Arabidopsis thaliana: one gene and its partners. The protein of the gene in region 3 interacts with the protein of the main gene of each other region in a pairwise test. Each region holds a gene or a part of one and is shown on either strand. Other genes may lie near its edges. The genes, in order: AT1G44830, LBD38 and TLP7.

What was found.
Region 1: the proteins of TLP7 (region 3) and AT1G44830 interact in a two-hybrid assay, tested with the Arabidopsis thaliana proteins (one large-scale study listed by BioGRID).
Region 2: the proteins of TLP7 (region 3) and LBD38 interact in a two-hybrid assay, tested with the Arabidopsis thaliana proteins (one large-scale study listed by BioGRID).

What each region holds. Positions count from the first base shown.
Region 1 is NC_003070.9:16,931,948-16,935,125, forward strand, and holds AT1G44830 (Integrase-type DNA-binding superfamily protein), read left to right. Parts: upstream 1-1,751; 5' UTR 1,752-1,844; coding exon 1,845-2,480; 3' UTR 2,481-2,621; downstream 2,622-3,178.
Region 2 is NC_003074.8:18,512,507-18,516,732, forward strand, and holds LBD38 (LOB domain-containing protein 38), read left to right. Parts: upstream 1-1,759; 5' UTR 1,760-1,958; coding exon 1,959-2,142; intron 2,143-2,236; coding exon 2,237-2,796; 3' UTR 2,797-3,625; downstream 3,626-4,226.
Region 3 is NC_003070.9:19,890,314-19,895,314, forward strand, and holds TLP7 (tubby like protein 7), read right to left. Parts: upstream 3,192-5,001; 5' UTR 3,117-3,191; coding exon 2,796-3,116; intron 2,434-2,795; coding exon 2,346-2,433; intron 1,831-2,345; coding exon 1,701-1,830; intron 1,525-1,700; coding exon 924-1,524; 3' UTR 622-923; downstream 1-621. Other genes in the region: AT1G53325 (F-box associated ubiquitination effector family protein), read right to left, coding at 4,914-5,001.

The DNA of each region.
Region 1 (3,178 bases), 3.0 Mb from region 3:
TTTATTGGTAAATAAAAATAAATGTAAAATAGTGAATTAGTTAAATGGTATGAAATGGAGATATCTTTCGGTGAATGAGAATGTTATAGTTGTTTTTAGAAAATAGCAAAGTCATATTGGTAAAATATTGAGAGAAAATGTAAAATGTTTTTTTTCCGTAAATGACTTTGAAAAGTATAATTTATTTGATAAGCTTGGATATACAAATATTTTAACCCGCTAAATAATATAGATATATCCAAAAACATAGATAACATGATTATATGACAAAAACATAAATATGTTTTATAAATTAGATGTCTACATAACGAAAATAATGTAGTAGAGGAAATGTGTTCTACAAGTTGTAGATATAAGAGCCAAAACATATAAAAACTTCATTTTGATAAATTAGATGTGCACATAGAATACTAATGTTAAAGAATTCGTCACGTAAGATTTAGTTATAACTATTATTTTTCTTAAAAGAAAGTAAAATAGTCAAAATTTGAATCATTCTCTTTAGATGGAATTAATTTGATTATTTATTCAAATACCACGTTTGTAATTACAGTCATTGAGTGCAAATATTAATATAAAAATGGTAGAACATTGTTGGTTTTGTTTTATCATAAACTTTTGTAAAATGTTGCCTGCATTTTCCAACGAACAATTCTGTTGATTCGTTTCTTGATATGAATAAAAAACCTTCATTATTGTTATATTATAGTACCCCAAAAGAGAAAAAAGAAATAGAGTCGTCTGGCTAGAACGTGAACACGAATAGATTAGTTTAGTAGTACTCTTACGCGTCTTAATTTAATTCTAGTGCCGACTAAATATAACCGCAGATTAGTTTAGTTAATAAACAGTGCAAGACTATTATGAGGTTTGACGATTTTACTTTAGTTTATTTAGTTAGTAGTACAATATTATTTAATATTACAATGCAGTTTGACAAAAGAATCTGAATTTAATTAATTTAGTAAAAGCCTTTTTACAGAGAGAATTTTACGTGTGACAAGGAGACACAAAGAGCTAGTTAACGCGGTTTTAAAAGTCCCATTAAGACAGAAGAGCACCAGCTCTTGTGCATTACCTTGGTAAACATGACTTCAGCTACTTTAACGTTTAAGATTCTGAATTATGTTTAGGCCTTTTAACCAAAAAAAAAAACTTGTAATTTTTGTATTATATATATATATATATATATATCTATAATCATGCATGTGATTTCATTTTGCATCTCATTTATCAAAATAATTCGATAGTTAAATTATTCTTATGATTAACTTTGTCTTTTGTTTGTACCTTAAAAAATCACATGCTCTTAGCTCCTAGAAGTTGCCTCTAAAAATAGAATCCAATGTTTCCTCTTATAATGTTTTATAACTTTCTGTCGTATCTTGATATTAATATTCTCATATGAGTACTGATTTTTGTTATTTACATTTTTATTCAAGATTCTGAGGCTCAAGAAGTAGTAACTTTTAGTTGTAAACAATAGTGTACTTTTGTGGAACTAAAGAATTAGCTTGGAGCCTTGGAGGTCAAATCAATAAATATGCATTTTTGAAAATAAAAAATAGGGATTCTCTTATTAGTGATCTGTGATTGGGTGTAGCATATGGGATTGTGATTAAGGAAAATCTTTTTTATAAATAAATTAAAAACACCTGTCTCTTACATTATTTAAAAGAAAAGTATTAATCTCTTTGTGTGTGCCCCATGCTACTTTCTTTGACTATGTTCATAGTATTTTTTTTTCTTTTGAGTTCTTTATGTTTCTCTTTCCATTTTTGTTCTCTATAAATAGAAACACACCATTCTTCTCCTCCAACTTCCTCCCTTAATTAGTATCAAAAATGGTGAAAACACTTCAAAAGACACCAAAGAGAATGTCATCTCCATCATCATCATCTTCATCATCCTCATCAACATCATCATCATCCATAAGGATGAAGAAGTACAAGGGAGTGAGAATGAGAAGTTGGGGTTCATGGGTTTCAGAGATCAGAGCTCCTAATCAAAAGACAAGGATCTGGCTTGGTTCTTACTCAACTGCTGAAGCCGCGGCTAGAGCCTACGACGCAGCACTCCTATGTCTTAAAGGATCCTCAGCTAATAATCTCAACTTCCCAGAGATCTCAACTTCTCTCTACCATATTATCAACAATGGTGATAACAACAATGACATGTCCCCTAAGTCTATACAAAGAGTAGCAGCTGCAGCTGCTGCTGCCAACACAGATCCTTCCTCATCATCAGTCTCTACTTCATCTCCATTGCTTTCCTCTCCATCTGAAGATCTCTATGATGTTGTCTCCATGTCACAGTATGACCAACAAGTCTCCTTGTCTGAATCATCATCATGGTACAACTGCTTTGATGGTGATGATCAGTTCATGTTCATTAATGGAGTCTCCGCGCCGTATTTGACAACATCACTTTCTGATGATTTCTTTGAGGAAGGAGATATCAGATTATGGAACTTCTGCTGATTCTACTTTCATTATACCTTATTCTTTGTTTCAATATATATACTTGAGTTATGTAACTTATACAATGTGTTATACATTTTTTTCTTCCCTTTTCTATCAATTCTCACAATGTATGGAACATTTGGGGATCTTTGTACCAATATCTAAATTATTTTTGAAATTAGATATTTTTCATGTTAAGAGTTCACTAAATCTAGTAGTAGTGGTTAAGTATGGAAATAGATTTATAGCTTTTGAACAAAGAACTTCGAATGATAACAAGTTAAAAGGTAAAAACGAAAAAGTACAGAATCATATTGTTGTTGATTAAATTCTGAAACCTAAAAGTTAAGAGTTAGTGTTGAAAACAATCATTTCAGATTTTATAGTATGAATGCAAAATTTGGCGTTACTGACTTTAACACTAACACTGTTTGATGTAAATGTGTACATGATACAAAATAAGTGGTGGTAAGATGACTATGCGATATAAGTACTGTATATATGATTTTTCTTTATTAAGGATATAAAAGTATTAGCTAATGAGTTAAACAGAAAGCAGATTTTTCATGTGAAAAGTTTTGCAAAGTCAAAGAGTAAGAAGCAAGTTTCATGAGGCTTGTCATAGAAGGCGATGATTAATCCTACTTAATTATTGTTGAATAGAGTAAGTGTATAAATATTATTTATTTAGAAGAAAGATAAGGAAAAAGAGAGAA
Region 2 (4,226 bases), on a different chromosome or scaffold from region 3:
ATGAACATCAATGAATGTAAGTAGGAATGCAATTTGTGCAACCTCTATTTGACAATTTCTTTCATTTCTTCTCAATAGTTTACAAGTCTCATACATTGTTTTTGTTCTGTTTTCAAAGAAATAGTTTTGGTTTTTCTATTGTATGCAATATGACTTCCCACTGTACATCATAAACATTGAAGTATATATAATATTTTTTCTATTGTGTTCTGCCGTACGTCTAACTTATAATCTATTTTATAACATTGATTTTACTAAATATATAAAGGTAAAATCTATCTTGTTGCATTCACTTCAGAAAATAAATTTTTGGAAGAAGGGCCACAAAACAATACTAATTTTCAAAAATTGAGATTGAAATTATGTTATAAGATTGATATTTAAAATAGGAATACCGTTGTAAAAATAAGTAGTTGATTTATCGAACATCTAAGCATCTGTTTAACACCAATTTTATGTCGTTGTTGATCAAAACTGTCGCGTTCAAGTGTCTTGTGTCGACTAATTAAGCAAATGAACTTTAGGTACCAGAAGTTCAACGAAACAATAATGCATTTTTAAATTACTAATGGACTGAAGTAATTGGGAATAAAGAAATATAAAGAGACGGCGGCATTCAGTGGAAAATTTGCCTAATTGGAGTGTAGGTAAGCACACCACGTAAGCCATGAACGGCGCCGTTTCACCGCATTGCTATAGGAAAGTAGAAGAAGACACTTTGACTTATTAATATCATTTTGTTGTAGATCTTCTGTTCATCATATATTTGATTTTGTTACTAGCTAATGTAAAGGAGAAAAGAAATGTTTGATTTGGTCACACACGTGAGACAGCATCGTAGGCAAAAAAACGCCTCTATCTTTCTTCTAAAACATTTTTCATATTAAATTATCAAAACCCTTAAGGTTGATTTAAGGGTCAGGTAGTGGATTTGTTTCGTTGAAGGGTCAGCTTAGCCTTAACCCTAAACAAAACAATCTCATTGGTTTCATAAATAAATTGTTTACAAAGTATACGTACTGCATGAACGAATGAACCATATCTATATTTATAAAACTCATAGAGACCAATAGTTTAAGAGAGGCACTTATATAGCTCAACAAATAATAGCGAACTAGAGAGAATATGATCTAATTAGTTATAAATCTCAATTTTGAAATTGAAGTGCGTTATTTCATTTGAGAATCTATGTGTTTTTTTTGTTGTTGTTAGATGAGAAGCTAGGTTTTTTTCTTTTCTTTACACCGATAATCGATAATATATGTTAATCACACTGATTTTTGTTTGAGACATGAAGATTCGAAAAATTTGTCAACGAATAAACACTGGATAGATAGAATTGAGATCTGCCATCAAATAATCGAGATCGTTCATGCATGACGCAAACATTTATATAGAAATGAAGCAAGTAAAGAATATGAAAAAGAATAGAAATGAGAAATTTATAAAGAAAGAAAAAAAGAACCAATGGTTGAGGAGGCAACTATTCGCGGGGACACGGAGCCGTTCGCACCCATCACCTTGGAATCTCTCTTTCTTCCTCTCTCCTCATCACCAACTAGTCAACAACCACACACCATTTTTAACTTTCATAATTAAACCTAACATAACATTTTTTTTTGTATAAACTATAGCATAAATTAAATTCAGTTAATGATAAAATAAATATATTTTGTAGCAATCATTCTATTTTGTAATTTGGTAGGGCTCTTTAAACTTTGATTATTATCCAATTTTTATTAAAATATAATAAAATCTCAAAGCCATGACCCATTCCTTCACTCAAGTATCAATGTCTATTGTCTATAAATATTACATAACTCTTCTTCTTCAACCAAACATTGAAACACTTTGTCCCACTCTCTCTCTTTCTCTTTCTTGTACCAAAAGCTTTTTGAATCTCCAAGATTATAGCAAAACCAAAGATAAAATACTAACTTAAAAGATTTCTGAAAATAATGAGTTGCAATGGTTGTCGAGTTCTACGAAAAGGTTGCAGTGAGAATTGCATCCTCCGTCCATGTATTCAATGGATCGAATCACCTGAAGCTCAAGGCCACGCCACCGTCTTCGTCGCTAAGTTCTTCGGCCGTGCCGGTTTAATGTCTTTCATCTCCGCCGTACCGGAATCTCAATGCCCTGGTACTTAAAAACAAAAACCTCTCGGTCCTTTAGATCTTCGTCTAAACGTTGTCGTTTTGGTTTCTGATGGTAAGGGTATTTGGTCTTTTTACAGCTTTGTTTCAGTCTTTGCTATACGAAGCTTGTGGGAGAACTGTGAATCCGGTGAACGGAGCCGTCGGATTGTTGTGGACGGGGAATTGGAATGTTTGTCAAGCGGCGGTTGAGACGGTGCTTCGTGGTGGTTCTTTAAAACCAATACCGGAGCTTCTTAACGGCGGTGGATTCGCCGGGTTTCCGTCTCCTACTTCCGACGAAGCTTCGGAGATCTGTACGGAAATGTTGAATCTACGAAAAGCTGATGATTCCGGTGATCGGAACATTTATCATCACTGCCGATTCTCAAGCTCTAGATCTAGATCAAGATCAACAGCTTCTCCGCCGAAACGGAAACGATTATCGTCGGAACAACAACCTTCGTCGGAGCTTGATCTCTCTCTTATTCCTATTTATCCGATTAAAACCTTGCCGTTTAAGGAAGATACACCGTCGATGTACTCGGAGGAGTCTGTTACCACGGTTTCGTTTCAAAACAACAACGCCGGTGATCGGTACGTACGCTGCGGCGGAGGAGGAGGAGGAGCAACGACAAAGTTGCTCAATCTCTTCGCTTGAACGGCGTCGTTTTTGTTATGAGGGTTAAAAATGTAATTTCGAGTAACTTTTTGTTGTGGCCTTTTTTGGATTAATAGCCCTTAATATTTTGTGAAATGTAGCAAATTACGTGATTTATTTCTCTCTTTAATTATGAGAAATTATCCAAAGTAATAGAGAATAATGATATAATTCGTCGGTGGTGTACTATTTTATTTTTAGTTCATAATCAATTAATCATCATTCTCATCGAATTCAAATTAAAAGATAACAATGATAATGTGTACGATAAATCAATACTTATTAGCTACTAAATTATTTGTTTTTATCGACATATTCAACATTAATAATAATAATCACGAATCGGAGTCAAAATATACATCTCTCCAAATCCAAAGCACCGGCAAAGTCTTCGCACCCAACATATTTCGATTCTTTAAGGACCAACATGTTGTAATGTACACACAATCATACACAACTTGCTATTTTGATAATCATCTTGATTACTACTCGCAAAACAAAATATTAGCATTTATTATCTCCAGGTTTATTGTCTTTCGATACTACATTTGTTATTCAATGGTTTAATGATACCTAGTAATAGTATAACACAATAGTACGTATTCCTCGAGATGTGATGATCTTTTTGTGATATCTCAAATTATCCTATACTAGTACTGCAACGGTCTTCTTCGCAACACTCTCAATGGCATATGTACATCTTCATGTGTTTCTTTCTATGTTTAAGATTAGTCTACCACACATTCTCCGGATGAATACAAACTCTAAAAAAGATTAAACAAGGTGCATTACATAATATAAGTAATTGTATGTATAGAGTAGATATGCATTATATAATGCATGTAGTTGGGTTGAACCCAAAAAGTTGGGGTTATAAAGGGAAAGCTTTTGGGGGAGGCGGCTTTTGGACGACGCAAAGAGCCGTTTATGTCACACTTCATACCTTCGTGGAATCTTCAAAAGCACTCTTTTTTTATTGTTCTTCTATTCTTCTTCACATTTTGTTTAATAAAAACAACAAGGTATTGTTGCTCTATGGATGATGGCGTAGAAACAATGAAATTGACCAATAACATGTTTGCTTTTGAAACGTTGAAATGAGAATGGATTGTTGTTGGAACAGAAGAAGTGATTTGAAGATCTTATGAAGTGGGACATATTTTAAATATACTTTCGACCAGCCAGTCACTAGTGGGCAAACAATTGCTTGTGGTCCACGTCACTCTCCTTTCCTTTTCCGACCACCGGACTCTTTATGTTATTTTTGAAAAATATAAGTTTTTAGTTCTGACCATTTCAAGTTTTATCAACAACCGGGTATCATCATTCGTTCAATCTCGTCTGTTTTTTACATCTAATTAGTGTCTAATCATGAGTTACAAAATTTATGGAGCTAAATTTCTTTTTCTACTTTTAAACTATGGAGCTAA
Region 3 (5,001 bases):
TATGACATATTTCCGACTCACTAAAAGATAGTATATGGTAGAGTATACTACTTACGCGAGTATCGTGATTAATGCCGTTATAAATATTTTTAGCAAAAACTATACTTTTAACTGAAAATCACTTCTCTTGGGTATTTAACTTTTTCATCTATAGATCGTTTTCCTTTTCTGATGAGGCTTCACTTAATTACTATAGTGTGGCTATGTAGTGATGTGTACAAACTACGGTTCTAATTAAAAGAAATGAACGATTAATTGTACATTATATCCTAATTTAAGAAATATTGAACGATAAATTTGGAAAACAAAGAGAAACCTGCCCTTACTTATCCTTAAGAGTTAAGACTAGGGCATGCGAAAGTATTCCACACCAATAATAGTACTAGTACGCTCATTTCACATATATTGATATATATAAACAAGATCCAGTTGTAAAATACAAAAGAATATAAAACCGAAAAGTAAAAAATTATAAAGAAGTTTTTCAAATCGACTTGTCAGACATCGAACCGGCTCAAGTTCCAAACCAAAAATATGCGACTTTTTTCTTGTGTATAAGCCAAAAATTAAAAATATGTTACTTAAGTCTTGCTATTCATTGCTGACAAAAAGAAAAAAGTCTTGCTATTCATTGTTTTTGTATATATTTTGCAAATAAGTCATGTTTCCAAAAAACCATTGAAGTCCTACTTTGAAGGAATGTGAAGTCCCAAATTCTATTCAAAAATAAAAGAAAACCACATGGGTATACTTAAGAGATACATTATGATTATGGGTTTTAAATAATGTTTCTTACATAATAATACTTATGTGCTTCTCCTTTCCACATACCTTTGTGTTTACACTTACACATGATTACATCAAAACATTACATTTTTGCAAAGCCAGTTCACTTTTTCTTTTCTGTTGCCTTTTGTTGGGTTTCACTCGCAGGCAAGTTTAGTGCCGAAACTTGTGAGACAGATAGCAAAAGCCTGAAATGCAGAGAGAGGCTGTCTATAATCCATAGTGAAAGTGTCATCTCCCACTTTACCAAACTGTAGAAGAACTGTTTCTTCATCGCCTTTACCGCTCGGTTGACTTTGGTCAACGGTCGCAACCAGCTGAAAGTTCTTGACCGAAGCAACAGTAACTCGTCCATGGAAGTTCAGACACCAGCACTGCAAGTGCTCGTGCCATCTAGGAGCTTTGTTCTTTAGTATTGTCAAGCTGGAACCATCCTTGTTGGGTTTTTTCATTATCTTGGTTACATCACATGGCTTTTGGTCAGACGAGAGTCCAGCGGATGATGATGAAGGTGATGGTGATGGGCATCGGAGTGTGCTTACCATTCTTCTTGGACCTCTTGATTTCAAAAGGTTGAATTTATAAGAAACATGACCGACTTCAAAGTTGCCTGCTGGAACTTGAGGGCTTATCTGCTTTGATGCAAATCTGCGACTGGCTTTGCCATTTGAAGGTTTTGCTCCGTTGTGTGGTGGTTGGCTATCGTATACTGTAAAGTTGGTCCCAAGAAAATCTGATCTGTTGAAGTTTCCAAAAAAAAACCATGAACCCTTAGTTTTCAAGCCACACTCATCTTCTAAGCAAAAAAAAACAAACCTTAAAACAAATTTAAAACTTCTGAGATAGCAATCCTGCTTTAGAGATTAAATGGCCGCCTAGCCGCCTAGGATATTCAGTAATGCACATATCAATACCTTAATTTTCCGACGTAGGCATTACTTCCTTGAGAGAAATCATCAGCATCAAGTGATATGATGTACTCAGTGTAAGCACCGGTCCTAAACCTCCGCGCCGCCAGAAGAAACTTTCCCTTATCAGTGAATGCTGGTGAACAGAAAATACAAACTAAATTAATAAATCCTGAAAATGATCCTTTTGCCAGCAAAGGAAAAATTTACTTAACTTGTTCCAAAGCAGTTTGCTCTTAAATTTAATATAATGATATTTTCATTGAGTTTGGAATGAAAATATAACTCAAAATATCATTCAGTGATGTCAAGATACCCGAATATAGATAAAAGGATTAACAATGCCTAGCAAACTACTTCACAGGTCAACTCCTATATTAGACTGCAGCTCAGAATTTTCTTCATCATCAACCAAGGTCAACAAAAAAGTCAATACTTATTAATGGCAATTGGTTGGTAAGTTGTTTCAAAGACAAGGCATTACTAGGTAAAAGACTGAGACAACCTTAGGAAGTCACTAATTCAATCGTTTTCACACTTAAAAAGCCTATCTAAAACTTTCATTTCAAGCCATATATACTTTTCTAATTTTGACTGAATCAACAATAAGAATGAAGCAAAAGGAAAAGTAATACTTTTGAAATAACTTACATGGTGTTAGAGCAAGATACAAGTAAAACGTTGATGTCTTCTTGTTCCTCTTTATCAAGCACTGATTAGAAAAGTCTCTAGGACCTGGCTGCATTTCAAAATACACTAAACTATCTCAATTCTCATCCCATTTTTTTTTCCAATTGCTCTTAACAAAAGCAAAGCCACAATAGCATCTATAAAGGCATATTAAGCTAAAGCAAGAACAAATACCATTAAGCGAACAAAACAACTGTGAATAGCTTTCAAATGACATGATCAAACGCCATCAACTTGACAGAATATTCTTATAAGAAGCTTGATTTAGGTAATTCAACAGTGTCTCTATAATGTGAAAGAGATAACAAAACTCACAGATTCACCTAAATCGATTCCTAAATCAGAGAACACGAAACCTAATTTGACGAAACAAAAATCAATGAAATGGTAAAATCAATACAAAAGGCGTACCAATTTGAGGCAAGAAGGGAAAGTAATTTTGCCAGAGTTAAGAGAGGATCTAGCGAAATCGTGAGTGATTTCTCTCCATTTCTTAGAAACGCAAGCGCAAGTAACTACATCACGACGTTGAGGCCAACGGTCCTCAGTCTCCTCCACGCGACGAATGATCTCGCCTAATAATTCAGGGAGCATCGCCGACCATGACGAAGAACCGGCCATATTCGACGGCGGAGGAATCGATTCGGATTCCGGTGCCGTCGTTGTCTCTCCCTGATGAAACCTAAAAGAGTTCGAGATCCTCCGCGAAAGGAGGGACCGTGACAAAGGCATTTTGTGAAGAGAGATGTTTCGATCTGGAAATAGAGAGAAGAGGGGAAGAGAGAGAAAGGGATGAGATTTGTTTCTGGGAAAAAAAAATCTATATAATAATTAATACCAACGTGCGAAATCTAGAAGGGAGTGATATTTTTGGGTAATAGTGACACAGCTGTGATATACGAATAAGTGACAGATCTTTTTATTTGGGACACGTCTCTCTACTTTATAAGTGGTCGAAAAAGTGAGAAATCTAAACCGGAAACGACGACTAAACCGGATACATGATGTTATTTTTTCATAGCACATTCAATTTAAGTAACACAGAAAAATCTTATGACTTGTGTAACTGAGGTTGATAGACGAACATTTCGACATTTGTTAAATCTGAATTTTGTTCAATCTTTAAGAATTAAGATTATGGATTTGGTTTATGATAACTCATTTTGTGATATTAGAAGATTCCTTATTTTTATTGAAATGAAATTACTTGTTTAGGATTTAGTAATTTATTTTTATCACTTTTTGCCTTTTGGGCTTGTGTAGTTGTAACTTAGAGATTTTTTTTTTTGGTTATAATGTTAAGATTTTATACCAAATAAACAAACGTTTACAACTTGTTCTAAAAGATTACAAAACACATCCTACCAAAAAAATAAAAAATAAAAGGATTACAAAACACAACCCAACATTTGTACAACTTATATATTTTAACATTTGTACTTCATAAAATTCAATATTGGTAATGGTACCACGTCTGTTGTTTACGTTTTAGAAAAAGATAGATTTTTAGATTGTTTATTAATGCTATAAACTGTCATATCTAACAATAAGATAATTAATATAACTAGCCCAAATAAACGTTAGTAACACCACCGCTTTGATCATGAGTTTCCGGCACCTGAGCTACTATCTTCGCATCCCACTCTCTTGCATGGTGGTTGACACGATCCCAAGCATCAATAACACTTTTACGTGCAGTAATTAGAGCTAGTCAGCTCTAAGCTAATTGACTAGATTTTAAGTCATGGACAAGTGATCGAATACTTTAAGATCTCTCTTCCTCTCCAAATATTTGACATAAAATCAAACATAAACTCGCTCAAGCCTAACTGTCCTAGACAAAACTATACCATAAGCTGGCAAAACTACTTTGAGTGCAATTGATTACTTGTGATAGACACAACAGCTACTAAAGAAAGACCTCCAACCAACAAACTGATTTCATCAACCCAACTCTTGAAAACAAACCTTGAGATTGGTATGGTGATTTCAATAGCTTTCAAGACTAGATAAAAAAACAAACAAGCCTCTAAAGATAACTAGGCACACATTTGGCCTCTCCAGGTTCGATCATGGGGATGGAGAAACAAGAGTTGGTATGTTCACGTTGATGTCATATCCCTACTTCTCGTAATTTTCTTGAAAACAAGACCACTCACTATGGCAGTAACCAACTGGGCATGAAGCAACTTGGACCTGAAAATTTGAAGGAAACTAAAAAAAAAAGAGTAAGAAAATAAAATATACAAGAAAAGAAAAACGAAGAGAAGTTTACCTATTTATATGTTCATGAAAAGGAAGGAGCCATTTCTCTAGATGTTGTTTTAGTTTGAGAGAAAGAAAATGATGATATAAACCAGAGTAAGAGATGGTTGAGACTTAGAAAACAAACCATTATATAAAGTGAAGAGAAAGATTGGTAACGAATAAAAACGAACTCCAATAAATAAATAAAACAAGAAATCCATAATTGAAAATCAAACTTGTAAAATTTCTTCTTCTTTGTTCACTAGCTTCAGCAAAAGTCTCTCAAGGAATGGAGATCAAACTGGGAACATAGGCACAGGATTGGAACGTACATACAACTTCATCTATCTTAATCTTTTTGCACAGATCT